Diceros bicornis minor: one gene and its partner. The protein of the gene in region 1 interacts with the protein of each later gene in a biochemical or structural test. Links are inferred from orthologs where the notes say so. Each region holds a gene or a part of one and is shown in the gene's direction. Other genes may lie near its edges.

Region 1 (7,261 bases):
CCTGAAAGATTAAGACAGGGTAGGAATGTCATGACATTGTTAGATTTCAAATTTGACTTCAACTATAGCAGACCTAAGAAAGATTATTCTCTCAGAGTTACACCTAATCCACATGAAAATTATAAATTATAAACCAAGAAATAGAAACATAATTCTAAAGGTATCAACATAAATTTCATAACAGATATATCTAGGAAAGGACTACAATTTCATTGGATTGAAAAGATGGGGCAATTTTAAATAAAACTGCTTTAATTTTTCAGTACAAAGTTATACGGCTCCTTATTGCTAGATAGATTCTGAGTATTGTTTACTTTAATCTGCTTCACATACAGATAGAAATCCCCTACATTTAAGCAACCTAACGGAGAAACTGACTTTCTCCTACGAAATTAACTTTCAATAAAGTCCACTGAGTACTTAATGAAGAAAATAAACAGACTACAATCAGATGTGACTTATAGCTCTAGTATCTACCCAATAACTGACTAGGAATAACCATGTGGACGTTCATACTTATCGACACTGATACCAGGAAAATTTTAATTTTGTAAAAATGTTGGTATGACAATGGAAGTGTGTCATACATGAAAATCAAGGAGTCAGAGTGGAAAATCAGTTTGACACTTACTGGACTGAGAAAGCCATGAATGTCAACAGAAACAAAAAAGAGAAGTACAATATATGTTATGCCCTTGTGGGAGATCAAGATTTGGCTACCCTGAAACATATCTCTTTACCTTGATTGTTTTCTCTGATGGACATTTGACCTCCCCCACTAACTGCCTAAAGAATTTGACATAGAAGATCTGTAATATAATGTAAAATAGATGTTACAATAGGAAAGGCACCAACAAGCCCATCTTATCAGAAGTTCTGTCTCTCTAGGCACATTCTCTGGATGGCCCTGAGAGGAGTTGCCAGACAAACATTTACATTTATAAGGGAAATCTCCATTTGTAAAGGTATCTCCCTTTCTGTATTGGGAAGAGGTGAGATGACTTCATTTCTAGAAACTCATCAATGTGGAAGGTGAGGCCTTAAATCTGCATAATAACCTTACTCTTGTTTACAGTGCTTTAGTGGTAATCTCCACTAACTGACTCCCCACCCCCAGCATCCTCCTTTGTCTTTAGCTGAAGATGGTATTTAAGACGAGAATTTCTGCTATTGTGTTGAGAAATGCAGTGTCCCTGCTTTCTCCCACGTATACATGTTATTAAACTTGGTATTATTTTCTCCTGCTAACCTATCTTGTTAATTATTTGGCCAGCCATAAGAACCTTAAGGGAAAGGGCAGAGGGGGCTTCTCCCTCTTCCCCCACACCCTCATGTTCTTTGCACAGTTTGAAAATTTTAACAGCTGGGTTGAGGGTTAGAAGACAACTGGGGCTTGGACTATTTGAGCAGGAGGGTGAATGACAAAAGCAAAGGAAACAGAGAACAGGAAGGCATCTGGCATTCCGGTTTTGGACTATCATATTCCTTATTCCTATCCTCTGAGAGAACGTCACCATTTTAGAAATGCTTTTAATTCCTGGTGGGGAAAGAGTGCTGTCTTTCTTTTATAGAATTGTACATCAAAACCCCTTTTCACACAGGGACCATAACTATTTTTGGTAACAGTTTCCAAGTTCCAAAGAAAAATATTTGTTGTATTTTAAAATAGTAGACTTAAGAGCACTGTTTCTTAACGTTGCACCAGAATGTTGATTTAACCATGTTGGATACCAATTTTACAACTAAACGTGGTCAGGCTAGAAAAAAGGCTGGCTTAGTCCTTTGGGAGTAACTGTAGCATAGTGAGAAAAGGGGAAGAGGGGATGGAGGTGGAGAGATGACTCAGGTGGCCATCCTATGTAATGGCCCTGGTTTCCCTGGGTTTATGCCTAGACTTGCCCAGCTAGGACACTTGATGCCCTGGTTCCCAGGAGCAGCTGGATAGGGGGCGCGTGCTTCATGATTACTGGCTTCTAGGGAGATCTGAAGCCTGCCTTGCCATGATTCTCCCTAGTCCACTTCTCCTACATTCTTCCCGTTGTTTGCCTAATCACAAGTCAATTCCTATTCCCTAACTCCAACCTCTTCCTCTGTCCTCAGAATAGATTCATCAGTATTTTGTGTTTTCTGCAGGTATGTTCTAGTTCTAGTATTTAGTAATGTTCTGGTATCTGGCAATGTTTTCTTAATATAATCCCTTTTGTGGCCTCTTGGAATACTGCTAAAGTATTCATAATAAAGTATGTAATTAAAATTCATTAATAGTAATATTATATGTTTACTTCTCAGATGAAGTAACACTGTAAGAAATATACTAATTGACTGAATTTTCTTTTTCTTCCACTTCAGTCACTTTGCCGCTCTATGCTTGAACAGAAGTAACTCATTTAAATCCCCCAAAATTCTCCTGTAAGGGATAAGAAAACATACAGTGATATATTGTTCTTTTCCAGTTACCCCTTTCTACCATCTCCACAGGCTCTCCCACCCAAACAGCCTAACTTTGCCAGACTAATGACTTTTAAAACCATTTTCGTAACTTTTCATAGGGACACCCATTAATGATTCAGAGCATCACTCAATTCACACTATAGTTAACATCAAGAGGTCCAAACTCTCTCCAGAATCTGGCCCTAAACCACTTACCCATTTTATTTCTTATCTTTCAGCCTTCTGAACCAAATGAATGAAAATCACCAAATGGCAATCACCAAATGAATGATAATAACCATTTCCTGCATCTGGCCCACTCCAAAAGTCCCTTTGCATGTTTCTCTCACCTGGAATGCCTCACTTCCCTTTTCCAAATTCTTCCCTTTCAAGGCCCGGATCAAGTTCCGCCACCTCTGAGACACCTCTGTAAAAACAAATTACTGGACTCGGTCAGAAGACATTTCCTCCAGCCAACTGTTTTACTATAATTAAAGTTTCTCTAGACTAAGTAAACTAGTATAATTACACGAAAGCAGAAAACTGCTGCTGCCTTAACTGAAGCATCATTTTGGTAAGAAAGTTTAGCACAGGAAGAGGCTTGGGCATCACAGGGGCGTAAGAGGACTTGTTCAACTATACTGGTGCCTCCCTTACGAATAGCTGCATGCTGAACCACTTAGGGGTGGGAGTGGGTCCTCCTCAGTTTTATTGCAGCAGAAAAAGGACTGCCACACTTTTGTCTTCTCTCAACTTGGGAGGGATAAAGAAAGGGCTAAGTTTTACTCCTGGGATCCCAGTTTAACTTCTGTAACTCTCCTTTTAGCGAGAACAAACTACTTAACCTTTTTAAGCCCTGATGGGAACTGGAATTCCTACCTCCCGGGGTTGTTGAAAGGATAAAATAAGAAAGTGTATTGCGCACACGTAACATCACAGAATAAGCGCTCAACAAATGGTAGCCACGTATATAACGCTGTATGTTCATGTACAAAATACGGCCCCTGATTTATATCCGAATAGGCAGAAGTGTTCTTAACATGGGGTCCCTGACTTATCAGAATGTCATGAAGCTCTAGAAATCTGATGCAGAATTTCGTGCTCAATCGTGTTGGTGTAGTCTTCTGCGAAAACGACTGAGAGTTTGCATCAGGGTCTGAAAGGCGTTCGTGACCCAAAATAGGCGGGAACCAGTAGGCAGTTAAGGCTTTAAGGACGAATTGGGGGGGGGTGACCTAAGGAAAGGCCTCAGGTCACCCGAGGGGAAGAGATTACCAGTGCGGGTCGGCCTGCTCCCCTTCCTCCCAGACGTCCAACCTTGACTCCCTTCTCTCCGCCCCTCGGGGCTGCCGCGGCTTTGAGGTCTCCCTCCGTTCACGTCCAGAACCCCGCGCCGTGGCGCGATCGCGACTTCAAGCCTGGCGCGGGGGCGGAGCCAGAGCGCGCCGGGCCTATGAGGGCGCGGCTTCCACGCGGCAGGGGGCGGTGTTCTCGGGGCGGGGGCGGAGCCAGAGCGCGCCGGGCCTATGAGGGCGCGGCTTCCACGCGGCAGGGGGCGGTGTTCTCCGGCAGGCGGGCGGGGCAGCGGGGAGCGCGCCGGGACTCTGAGGGAGCGGCGTTCTCGGGCACGCAGGGCGGGGCCGGAGCGCGAGGTCGAAGCGGGCCGGGACGGGAAGGCGGGCCAGAGCGCCCGGGGCCGCTGAGGGAGGGGCGTTCGCGGCGGCGGGGGCGGGGCGGGCCGGGGCGGGAGGGACGTGTCGGCGCGGAGGGGAGCGCGGGGCCCGGGGGTGGGGCCAGCGGGGGGCGGGCCGTGCTCGGAGCTCAGCTCGGCGGGCTGGGGGCGGCGGGCCGCAGAAGCCGAGCTGGCGGGGCGCAGAGCGGAGTGGACGGTTGAGCGCTGCGTGGAGGCTGTGCGGTGAGTGCCGCCCTCGAGTCTTCCCGACGCCGCGCCGTCGGCCCTGCCCGCTGCCTGCATCGCCTCCAGCCCGGCGCGCGCCCCGGGGTCCCTTGGGGCCTGCAGCTGCTCCGGGGAGACGGAGGAGACGGGCACGCTCCGGGCGGCGGGTCCTTTGTTTGGCCACGACGACGGGCGCGGGGAGGAGCGCTGGAGCCCGCGGAGCGAGAAACCTGGCCCGGGGTGTGGAGGCCCGGCCGCGGGTCGGGGGGCCGGGCTGGGGGTGTGGAGGCCGACAGCGGAGACCAGGCTGGAGATGCCGAGCCTGGGGGACGGGACACCGGACCGAAGATCGAGAGGCCAGGCTGGGGGCCTCGAGGCCGGGGGGCGCGTGGGGGGCGGGAGCCCGGGCCCGGGATGTGGAGGCCGCGGAGGGGAGACCCGACTGGAGATGCCCAGCCCGCGGGACGGGAGGCGCACCGAAAACCGAGAGGCCAGGCCGGGGCGCCGAGGCCGGGTAGTGGGAGGTCGGGCCCGGGCCCGGGAGCGGGGCGCGGGGGAGGGGGGCGCCGAGGCCGGGTAGTGGGAGGTCGGGCCCGGGCCCGGGAGCGGGGCGCGGGGGAGGGGGGCGCCGAGGCCGGGTAGTGGGAGGTCGGGCCCGGGAGCGGCAGGCAGCGGGATGCCAGAGAAGTGAGGGCGGCCGGGACGGGAGTAGCGGATGGTCGGCGCGGAGGAACGATGCCCCGAGGGCAGGAGGCGGGCCCGGTGCCGTCCCAGTGGCGCTGGCCCTCGGGGCTGAACCTCCCGTTGTTGGACGAGGGTGTGCTCTCTGCGGCCTTCTCTGTCTCGGGCCTAGATTTTCCCGGGTTGACTATGTAACTCAGTTTTCGGGAGAAGCAATTTCAGGCGTTAAACTCTAATTCCTTTTGAGACCTGAAGGTCTCCGTGAGTCCGTCCAGCTCGGCCATGTGATTGTGTGTCCATGGCCAAATCCACCTAGGAGCTGCTTTGAAATTCACTCAGGCCATGTTGAATGCGAGTGCCTTTCTCACACTTGTCACCCTTGTTCTCTCTCAAGCCTTATTTCCCAAGCAGCTGCCTCTCTCCCATTCTCAGTAAGTGGAACCCAAACCAAAAAACCAAGAACCAACCTTCTCAGCTACCTGTCCCCGGTCCTTCCCCAGTTAGCCACCAAAGCCTCCTCGACCTCCTAAATGTCCGCTAGATCTGTCCACTGCGCTCCATCTCTGATTTAAGTCACCCTAGGCTCTTACCTGGCTACAGCAGCCTCCTCACTGGCCTCCATACTTCCAGACCCTCTGCCCCTCTCCACTCCATTCTTTACAGCACAGGCTGAGGGATCTTTACAAAATAAAAATCTAGAAAACTGTTTCTTTGCCCATAGGAAAAACCCAGTCCCTTAGCATGGTAACATAGCCAAGCACAGGTTGGCTCCTTGGTCTCCTCACTTGCCTTATATTTCATTATAGCCTGTTTCACTTTCTACACAGCCAGGCTGATCTTAATACCTGTTCTCTGCCTGGAACATTCCTGCATTCCCACTCTGGTTGCATCACATCTGCTTGAGGAACTCCTACTTAGTTTCTGTTCTCATTCAACACTTCAAGGTTAAGTCTTCCTATTATGTGTTCCTTTCGCATCGGGATTTTCATAGAGGAAAACGTCATATCCTTTGCAGTTGCTTGTTTCCTATCTTTCCTACTAGCTTGTAAGCAAATTCCGTGAGGAACTGTGTTTGTCTTGTTCTTTACTGCCCTTCCCCATGTCCAGGGCCTGCACAAGTGAACGCCTATACTACAGTCTTATGCTTTTTAATAATTATGCCCTATCTAGAAAAAATAAACGTGTTTTAGGATTACTTAGCAAAATATAATTAAAAGATTGGATTAGGAAGGAATGGTAGAGGTGAAATATGGAGTGGTTGTAACGATGTGAGTATACAAGATAGTAATAGGAGCTGCTTAGCAAGGTGGTTTAGACCAACCTGTATCAAAACGTGCTCGGCCACTTTGAATGTGTTGTAGTTACATAATCTCTAAGAATGAAATATAAAGCTTAAATCATCCCTATCGCAACCTGATATTTGAGCTTTGGTTTTGCTTTGCTCTTTTGCAAAAGAAGGCTTTTGAAAGTTAGAATGTGCTTTAATGAACGGACAGTTTTTTGCAGTGTGGCAGTAAAACCTGTTGACGGTAAAAAAGAAATGAAACATTGTGCCTAATTAAATCGGATTTCTTTTTGCTATCCTGAAAAAGCCTTGCCTCCTGCGGTTTTAAGAGACTCACGTCTTACTGATATGGGCGATTGCAATGCTTCTTTACTGTTTTGCTTTCAAACCTGGTATAACACAATCTACTGCCGCATCCCCCTTGTAATGCTAGAAAGCAGTCTTTATTTTTATGAATGGTATTAAATTGATTCTGGTGCCTAGTATTAGATACTTCTTCAAGCTCTGCCTCAAAGATGGGAAGCACTGGTGTTTGGGCCTAAAAAAAGATGTGGGAATTCTTAGACTGTTAGATAACTGTTTTGTAGATATTTAACAAATACAAATGTAATGGAGGGGAATAGGTACTCTTGTCAGATGACCTAAGGCCAGGTCCCAAGGACGACACTTACCAGCTCATCCGTAAATAGGCATAAGTGATATACATACTTCACAGGGTTGTGAGGATAAAATGAGATAGTGTCTGTGACAGTGCTTTCTAAATCTCTGTGTAATATTGTTATTTCTCTGCTTATTTGTTCTTGCCTTCAGATTGCTTATAGGGCTTCTGAATTAGGGCAGAGTAAGATAAAGTTATCTGATGTGTAGTGCACACTGTCTGGCATCTGCCTTGCTGAGCTACTTTTGAATGCCGGTGAGCGTGGTTGTGAGTCCCACACAGGGACAGGGTCTTTCTGTCTTCCATTACT
Region 2 (7,965 bases), on another chromosome or scaffold:
TTTTTTCCCTTTTTCTCCCCAGAGCCCCAGTAGATAGCTGTACGTCATAGTTGCACATCCTTCTAGTTGTTGTATGTGGGACGCCACCTCAGCATGGCCAGACAAGCGGTGCATCCGTGCACACCCGGGATCCAAACCCAGGCCGCCAGTCGCGGAGCGTGCGCACTTAACCACTAAGCCACGGGGCCAGTCCCCGGGACTTGCAATTTAAAAGCAGCCAATACTGTGTGGCTCACCAGTCCTTACAAACATCTCATCTTTCCTCAGCCTAGCCTACAGAAGTTGGCAGACTGACCTACATAGTACCAGACCATGCTGTTCCAGATTAAGGCTGCCCTGAAGAGTTTATCATAAGGAGGAACAGACACAGAAGGTGTACTGTGTAGTCCGCCTGGCTCTCAAGAGGAAAGCAATTAGGATGGAGCTAGGCTGTGCATGATCAGTTTCTCTTTCCAGACTCACAAATCAGATTAAAGCGTTCCTTCTCTCCTGGAGAAAAGTGAGAGAGGCCAGGAGTATTAGGCTAATGGATATCCCTTCCTGTGGAGGAAACATCAGGAGTAGAGTTCCCTCCTCCCCACCACAATTAAAAAGTGCATCCCTGTACGCAAATGCTTGATCAAATATGCTATATGTTTCCTACATCTCCTTTGATATGGTTCTTGTTTTTGTGAGAAACCATTGAGTGGATAAAGGCAGCTTCTTCATTAAATGGAGAAGTTCCAGTATTAAATAAATAAGCAAATCAGCAAAAAATGAAGGAGAAAGCAGTAGAGGCTGCCAGTTCAGTTTAATTCTAAGAACCCCACAAAAATCTTTCTTGGATGCTTTTGCCTATTAGCCTTTAATAAAAGAAAAAAATTTTAATGAGTTTCTCTGAGTCAGGTGTGGTGTAGTGGGAAAAAAAGGGCGTGAAGTTTAGAAACAAACCTGGGTTTTGAATTCTGGCTCTGCCTCTTAACTGACTGTGCCACCATGGACGAGTAATTTTACCTCTTTAAGCCTTACTTTGAAGATAATAACACCAACCTCAAACCTGAGGATTAAATGTATGTAAAGCACCCAATCCAGCATCTGATACATAGTAGGCAGTCGACTCATGGTAGTTATCATCACCTTTTACCATCTGCCTGTGTACTCCTTGCATGGGGGCAGGGACTGTGGGAGCAGCCTGTGCTGCAAGTCCCTTGTGCTACATCACATAGCAAGATGACTGGGAAGACTTCACCCGATCAGCCTCTCGTGCTGTGAACCAATGCCATGCCTCTTTTTGTCTTTACACAGGTTGGAGCTCGGTGAATGGGACTCTGCCCGGTCTCCTATCATTGGCTCCTGTGGCACTCAAGAGCAGGCACTGTTAATAGATCTTACAGGCAACAGTTGTCGAAGGGTAAGAAGGGAAGAAGGATAAAGAGAGGGGACTGTACTATCAGACAGGGCTGGCTGTGTTGAGGGCAGGGGGTCAAGGAAAAGGAATGTGGAAGTCCAGGCACTAGACTGGAAGGGTGTGGAAGGTTGCAGGAACCTAGTGGAATTTGCCAAGTGGTTGACCATGAGGGGCCTTTCTCTTGGGATACTCCTTTTCTATAGTGGCTGGAGAAGTGAGGACATGTCCCCATAGGGTAAAACTCTCTGATTTTCACATTTTTCTTTCAGACCCGGAGTGGTGCTGGATGGAAGCGCGTCCTGCGTTCTCTCTGTCATTCCCGGACCCGAGTGCCGCTGCTAGCAGCCATCTACTTTCTGATGGTTCATGTCCTACTCATTCTGTGTTTCACAGGCCGTCTATAAACTTAGTTCTCACGTTTCGGATCACTCCCCTCAGAACATGGAATTCCCTCACCTCTAACATCAAAACCATCAATTCCATTGGAACAGTCTTCCCACTTACAGGTCCTCTCTCCAACTCTCCACAGAAAGTGCCTGCAAAAAGAGGTGGATGTGAGCACAGGTTAGAGCTGTAGGCCCCAGCGAGTCTGCTCTCTTCTACTGCACGAGCCTGAACACTCTGCATCATCTGAGGAGCCCCCATACTTGGTTGTTGAGCCCAATATTTGTTCAGATTTTACAGGGCCCTGATCTTTTGTGGTCCTGGGAAAGATGCTGAGGAATGTCTTTCAGCCAGGAGGATGGTTCCAATAAACCTAATAATCTGAAGTCCAGTATCATTTTGATTGATACGTCTTTTCTTTGTTTTCCTTATATTTTCTCCTGCTTCAGGGGGAAGGTGGACCTGCCACAAACAAAGTTCTGGGGAACACTGTCTCCTAGGATATCTGATTAGGTCTCCTGCAAGATAGGATGGGAGCTGAAGAACTCCCCAGAGGTTTCAGCTCTTGGATCCTGGGGGAGGATAGCATCTCCTTCCCTGGCTATTCAGACATAATTGGAGTGAGATTTCATCCTGAACTGTAAGGATAGGAGCCCATTGCTTATGCCCTTGATCACATGTAAACAAAGGTAGTAAGTGGCTTATGCCTTTCATTTCACTGAAAGGTAGGAAGAACTGGCTATGGACAGCACAGCGGGATTCAGATTCTTCTCATTCCTGTGTTACCTGGATATGCCTCACTTGTGGGCCCTAAGACAGTACACTAGGAGCCAGTCCTAGGTGAGGCATTGACTCCCAGTCAGGAAGATCTGACTGGTCTAACGACCACTCCTAGTCTCTTGAAGTATGAAGCTACTTTACTGTTGGTGACAGTTATTCCAGTTTCTCAGTCCCAAAGTCATCTGCCCTCTGTGGTAACAGAGAGCTGAAGAAAATGGAGGGAGAATATAAAGACAAAATATTTAAATCTAGGCCTGAGAATGACAGCCAGAATCGAATTCCATTTCTGCTTATTCCTTGCCTCTTCTCCCCCTCAACACTTACCTACTGGTTATTTTCTCATTATGCACATGATGTGTTCCCTGCCTGCTCTCAGCACCCAAAGAAGAGAGAAAACTGGTGGACTGACTGATCTGCTCTAATCCTTTTTTCTGTGGTGACCAAATCTTGGTCACAGCAACCCAGGAACTGTCCCGAACAACTGTAAAATAATAAAATTATTTTCAGAATGAAAAATTGTGGTGTGTGCGTGTATGTGAATGTATGTATACACGGGTGCCTACATATATGTGTGTGCGCGCTGATGGGAGGAAGGTAGATAGGGATAGGGTAGCCAGGAATGTATATACGGGTAGAAAGCTCTGCCTATTCAGGCCTCCTTTTCACTGGCCAATATCAGTAATGGCTGCATGTGTCCTAGCTTTAGCCACTAGACCCCAGGGTGATGAAGTGGAATGAGGAAATTCCATCCTAATATTGAACCAAAGAAGCTGGGCCTTAGGGCATGAGATTCATGCAGGTTTGTGTCTGGGCCTGGGAGAACTCTAACTGAAAATATTAGGCCCCTAGGAATCCATCTGAGTGGCGTGGGGGAAGGGAATCTAATAGGGAATAGCAGGATGGGCATTATGTTTTTATGTTAGGTCACTGCTTGAGAAAAGCTAACTCACTTTCTCAAGGTAAGTAAGTGAATTGGGCCAAGTCTATCTGGCTTCAAAGCCCATGCTATTTCTATGTGCTCCATCTCACTGTGTCTCATCAGGAATGAACTTGGGACATTTGCTAAGAACAGATGGGGTTTCTTGTCATCTCTGATTAAATTCTATGGTTTCTCTAAAGAAATTATACCTGGATGGTGTGTCACAATATCTGATCTGATCATTCCTATTTTTGACACTGAATTAGGATTTGAAATGATATAAAAGATTTTTTCACCTTCTACAAATTTACTCTTCCTTAAAATAATTTTGGTGCTGCCATAATAGAGAGGTCATGAAGTAGGAGAGATCAATAAATACAACTGCCCCCAGGCGTAGAATCCTTAGATTTGGACGTGACTGAAGTCTTACTAATGCAGAAATCCCCTCAGCATCTTGGACCAATTTCATCCAGTCTCTGCTTGAATCCATGGGGGAGCTCACAACTGAGCAAATCAAGTTAGAACTCCACGTCAATCTAGATTAGGAGAGGCCAGGTCAGATACAGTAACCAACACCCTCAAATTTTCAGTAACTAAAAGGATTACTTGTGTTGTAGTCACTGGGGACATCATGTTGGGGACCCTCTTACTCAGGCTGCCAGAGGAGCCACTCTGGAGAATTGCAGGTTGCCTTGGTGGGCAATGGGCGAAAGAGCATGGCAAAGCTCGCGTTGATCTTAATGTCTCCACCAGAAAGTGATGTGTTTCACTTCATTTATTTCACTGGCCAAAACAAAGTCACTGAGCATGTCTGACTTCAAGAGGGAAGGGAGGAGCAGCAAATCTTGATGAACAGAAATACAGAATATCACAAAGACCTTCCATCCCCTGGTACTACCTCGTTCTTTCAGACTTCTTCCTTCTGTCTGGAACAAAATCTTTCTACCAGTTAGCTCAGACTCCTCGCTGTCTCCTGAACTATCTCTGCACCTTTCTCCCTCCACGTCTTGCCTTTCCCCTTGTGAGTTATTCCCTTCCATCGTTCAATTGCTCAACGTTTATTTGAACGTCTACTATATGCAAACCTCAATTTTAAGTGCTGTGGGTAACGTAGAAATGAGTTTCTTTTTAAATCTTACCCTTCAAAATCCACATAAAAATCATTTTTCCCATTAAGCCTTTTTTGATTACTTCAGCCCATACCAAATTCTCTAAATTCTTTTACTATAATAGATGCAACTGCTCACCTATTTAGGACACAAATGTTGTCCTACAGCATTCTTTTATGTGTTTCCTGGTTGAATGTTTTGCTTCCCTGATCAGATTATAAGCTCAGAGTAAGAGCAGCATTTTCTATGACTTCCTCGTGACCCTCAAAGCCTTGCAAAAGAGGAGGCACAGAAGCATTTAATCCTTTCTTATTTAAGTGCCTAAGCAGAAGGAACTGACTCAAAACTTCAGGAAGTAGCTATGAGGACAGGGTGGCAGGAAATGACAGAAACCTGAATACGGAACCGAAGCAGCAGCTCAGTTTCTTGCTCTGAAGTAGCAGCAGCCAGAGAGGGAGCCGAGTGTCGACGTGAGGAGCTGGGAGTTTGGAGCAAACACTCACACTATTGGAGGTGGGTACTGGGAACAATGGGAAAGTTGGGGAGCACAGGAGAAATGTTGAAGTAAGAGGATCCTACCTAGCTCTTAGTCCTTGCTGAGAGATGAAGTCACCGCTAGCAGGCTTTTAATCTTTTATGGCCAGAAGGCCTGGGTGTAAGTCGTTATGGATAATGAACATCTGGGGATGGAAACAGAAGTGGGGGGCTGGAGCCCAGGGAACATGATTCAGCAGCCATCCAGGACCCCTGGTTTCTGCTGACAATCTACAACCCTCTCTAAGGCCTGTGGCTCCTAGGCATTGAGTTGAGAAGAGGACTGCAGGAGATGAAGACAAAGTCTCTGCCCTAGGAGAGCATATGGTCTAGCAGAGAGACAAAACCCACATAGGAGACACTGTAACAGATCAGGAAGTAGGTGCTAATGGACGCCAGTTCTGAGAACCAAGCGCTGATGCAGGCCAAATGAAGGCGTGATGCTTCAACTAGGGCTAGTTTCTGTGATTATAGGATCGCAGAATCCCAGAATGTCAGAAACAGAGGGAACTTGATGGATCAGCTAGGTTAACCTCTTCACTTACTTTCCATTAGGGAAAGCTGAGCATCAGAGATGTTCAATGATTTACCAAATTATTTAATATTTGTAAATTGCCTCGCCCAGTACCTGGCAAATAAGTACATACTGTTGATTCCCTTATCCATGCTCCCACAGGGGCTTAGTAACAGAGCTGGAATGATCTTCTGACTCCAAGCTCATATACTTTACTGATGCCAAGGCAGCCTTGTGATGAGACCCTTGATTGAGCCTGCAATCCTGGGCACCATGCCTCACCAGGTTACTTGCCCATCACCACCTCTAGATTGCACCTCTCAGCCTCCCTATTTCTGGCCAGTACCTCATAGATACTAAATTGCCTCTGTGTCAGAAACTCTTCCTTTTGTTTTGAAAATACATGACGATGGGAGGTTTATGAGAAAGTCAGGCTGAGGCCTCAGAGGAACAGCAGGAAAGACGACAGGACCGTCAGTCCACATTGCTTCCGTATTGCTTACGAATATTTCAGAAACTTCTCCTTTCCAGCTTTCCATGTGAAGTCCTTTGGTTGCAGAGTAGCCCAGGAGCCAAGAACATAGGTTTTGTCTACCTGACGCCTCATTTGTAATTGTTGCCCGCTGGGGAAGGCAGAGCTGCTCTCGGCAGTGATTCATCCCACAGTGCAGCTGACACAGTCAACACTTCTCCAGTGTGCTCTTTGCATCTCTTTAACCAATCTACCCCCAAATTTCCCTTGGGCTAGTTTCCAAGGGGTTTTTCGAAGAGCATAGAGAACGATGGAATTTTCAAGTGAAAAGAAAAATCCAAGAGTCTGAGGGCCTGGGTGGATAAACTGGAGAGTCCTAGGAGTGGGTGTAAGAGGGACTCCTTAAAGAGACAATGAAGATCGTGGGGAAAGACACCAGTGAGGTGAGGAATCTAAGCAGGGAACGACGAGCAGGGGAGTTGCCAGCTAGCAAGTGGTACCAGGGTCAAGAAGGCTCAGTGGCCACCAGAGCGGGTGAGCGTTGGCTGTTGTTTCCTCTTCACACCAAGATCCAGGATACCACAGACGCAGAGCCACTGCGTGGCTCCTCCTTATACATGATTGGCAGGGCCAACAGAAACACTGGGGATGCCCCAGTAGAGTAATAATTTGGTACTCCCTCAAACTAAGGTTCTCTAAATATTTCTTTATCATTTATTTAGTTAATAAAGATATAATAGCTTTTAATGTTCAAAATAAGAGATTTGTTACATGCTATTTTTTGAACCAGTTATCTTCTTTAGAAATATAATTGAACTCTTCTTAAAAATTGAAGAATAAATGACTTATTCTCAGCAAACAATGCTTCCCTGTGCATTGTGCAGTGTAGGAATTTCAGCTGACTGCCCCTACTGGCCTCATGCAGCTTGCAGAGAGGAGTGTAAATATTCGTTTTATCAGGAGCTGGACCAATCTAGATTTCGACAACTATAAAAGGAGTCATATGTAGAGTGAAATGGCACTATGATTCTAGGGATGTTCTAGCTCCCCTCCTTGATTACCACTTCAAGCCACTGCCTGACTAGCCACTGGACACAAGCGAATGATCCAACAGTTTTGACACCGAGGTTATTTAGTGTTACCTACACCCAGGATTACTTCTTTCCAGACTCAGGTGTGGCCAGGCCATGTTAGTTTTTCTTGAATAAATCCCCATCCTCTCTCCTCTAACTGAGCAGAAGTGGTTTCCTAAAACTTCCATCTGCTTTGCTTCAGCTTCTATATTCTTCCAAGAAAAAATGGCAAGAAACGTTGAGCTGCTATATCATTGACTTCAGAATTCTTGTTTTCCTTCCTCCCAATTTTTCCCCTTAATTATTCCCATCTTCTGTCACCCTCAGATGTGGAAGTCTGTAGTAGGGCATGATGTTTCTGTTTCCGTGGAGACCCAGGGTGATGACTGGGACACAGACCCTGACTTTGTGGTGAGTTTGGAAATAGTTTTGCTTGGACAAAGAAGGGCAGGGAAGGGAGAGGCATATGGGCCACTCTCTGACCTCTGAGGGGGCTTAGAAAAGGACAGTCTGGGACTGAGATAGCATCATGGTGGGACTTACTGGTAGGACAGTTGGCTGTGATAAGTGGGGCATGCATGAAAGCTGGTATTGGAGGTGGAAGGAGACAGGTGCAGGGGAGTTTGACATTGTGATTGACGGGTAATGGCAGACTATGCTGAAGGTGAGGAGCAGGTTAGTCTGGGTCTCCTTTGGCCTGGGAACCAGGAGTTGGGCTGGACATGTGTATTTTGGGAAGATTCAGAAGTTGTAGGAGACCTGAAGCGGAAAATGTGAGGGATGTAGAGTAGGA

Evidence for each region.
Region 2: of the proteins of CASP3 (region 1) and HCLS1, one has a biochemical effect on the other in vitro, tested with the Homo sapiens proteins (2 studies listed by BioGRID). The link is inferred for Diceros bicornis minor from reciprocal best matches to the Homo sapiens genes CASP3 and HCLS1.

Annotation. Positions count from the first base shown.
Region 1 is NC_080768.1:16,324,831-16,332,091, reverse strand, and holds the start of CASP3 (caspase-3), read left to right. Parts: upstream 1-4,253; 5' UTR 4,254-4,345; intron 4,346-7,261. UniProt on the Homo sapiens protein: Thiol protease that acts as a major effector caspase involved in the execution phase of apoptosis. Following cleavage and activation by initiator caspases (CASP8, CASP9 and/or CASP10), mediates execution of apoptosis by catalyzing cleavage of many proteins.
Region 2 is NC_080754.1:22,653,220-22,661,184, reverse strand, and holds the start of HCLS1 (hematopoietic lineage cell-specific protein), read left to right. Parts: upstream 1-4,955; 5' UTR 4,956-5,092; intron 5,093-7,499; coding exon 7,500-7,583; intron 7,584-7,965. Other genes in the region: GOLGB1 (golgin subfamily B member 1), read left to right, coding at 1,285-1,390, 1,657-1,791. UniProt on the Homo sapiens protein: Substrate of the antigen receptor-coupled tyrosine kinase. Plays a role in antigen receptor signaling for both clonal expansion and deletion in lymphoid cells. May also be involved in the regulation of gene expression.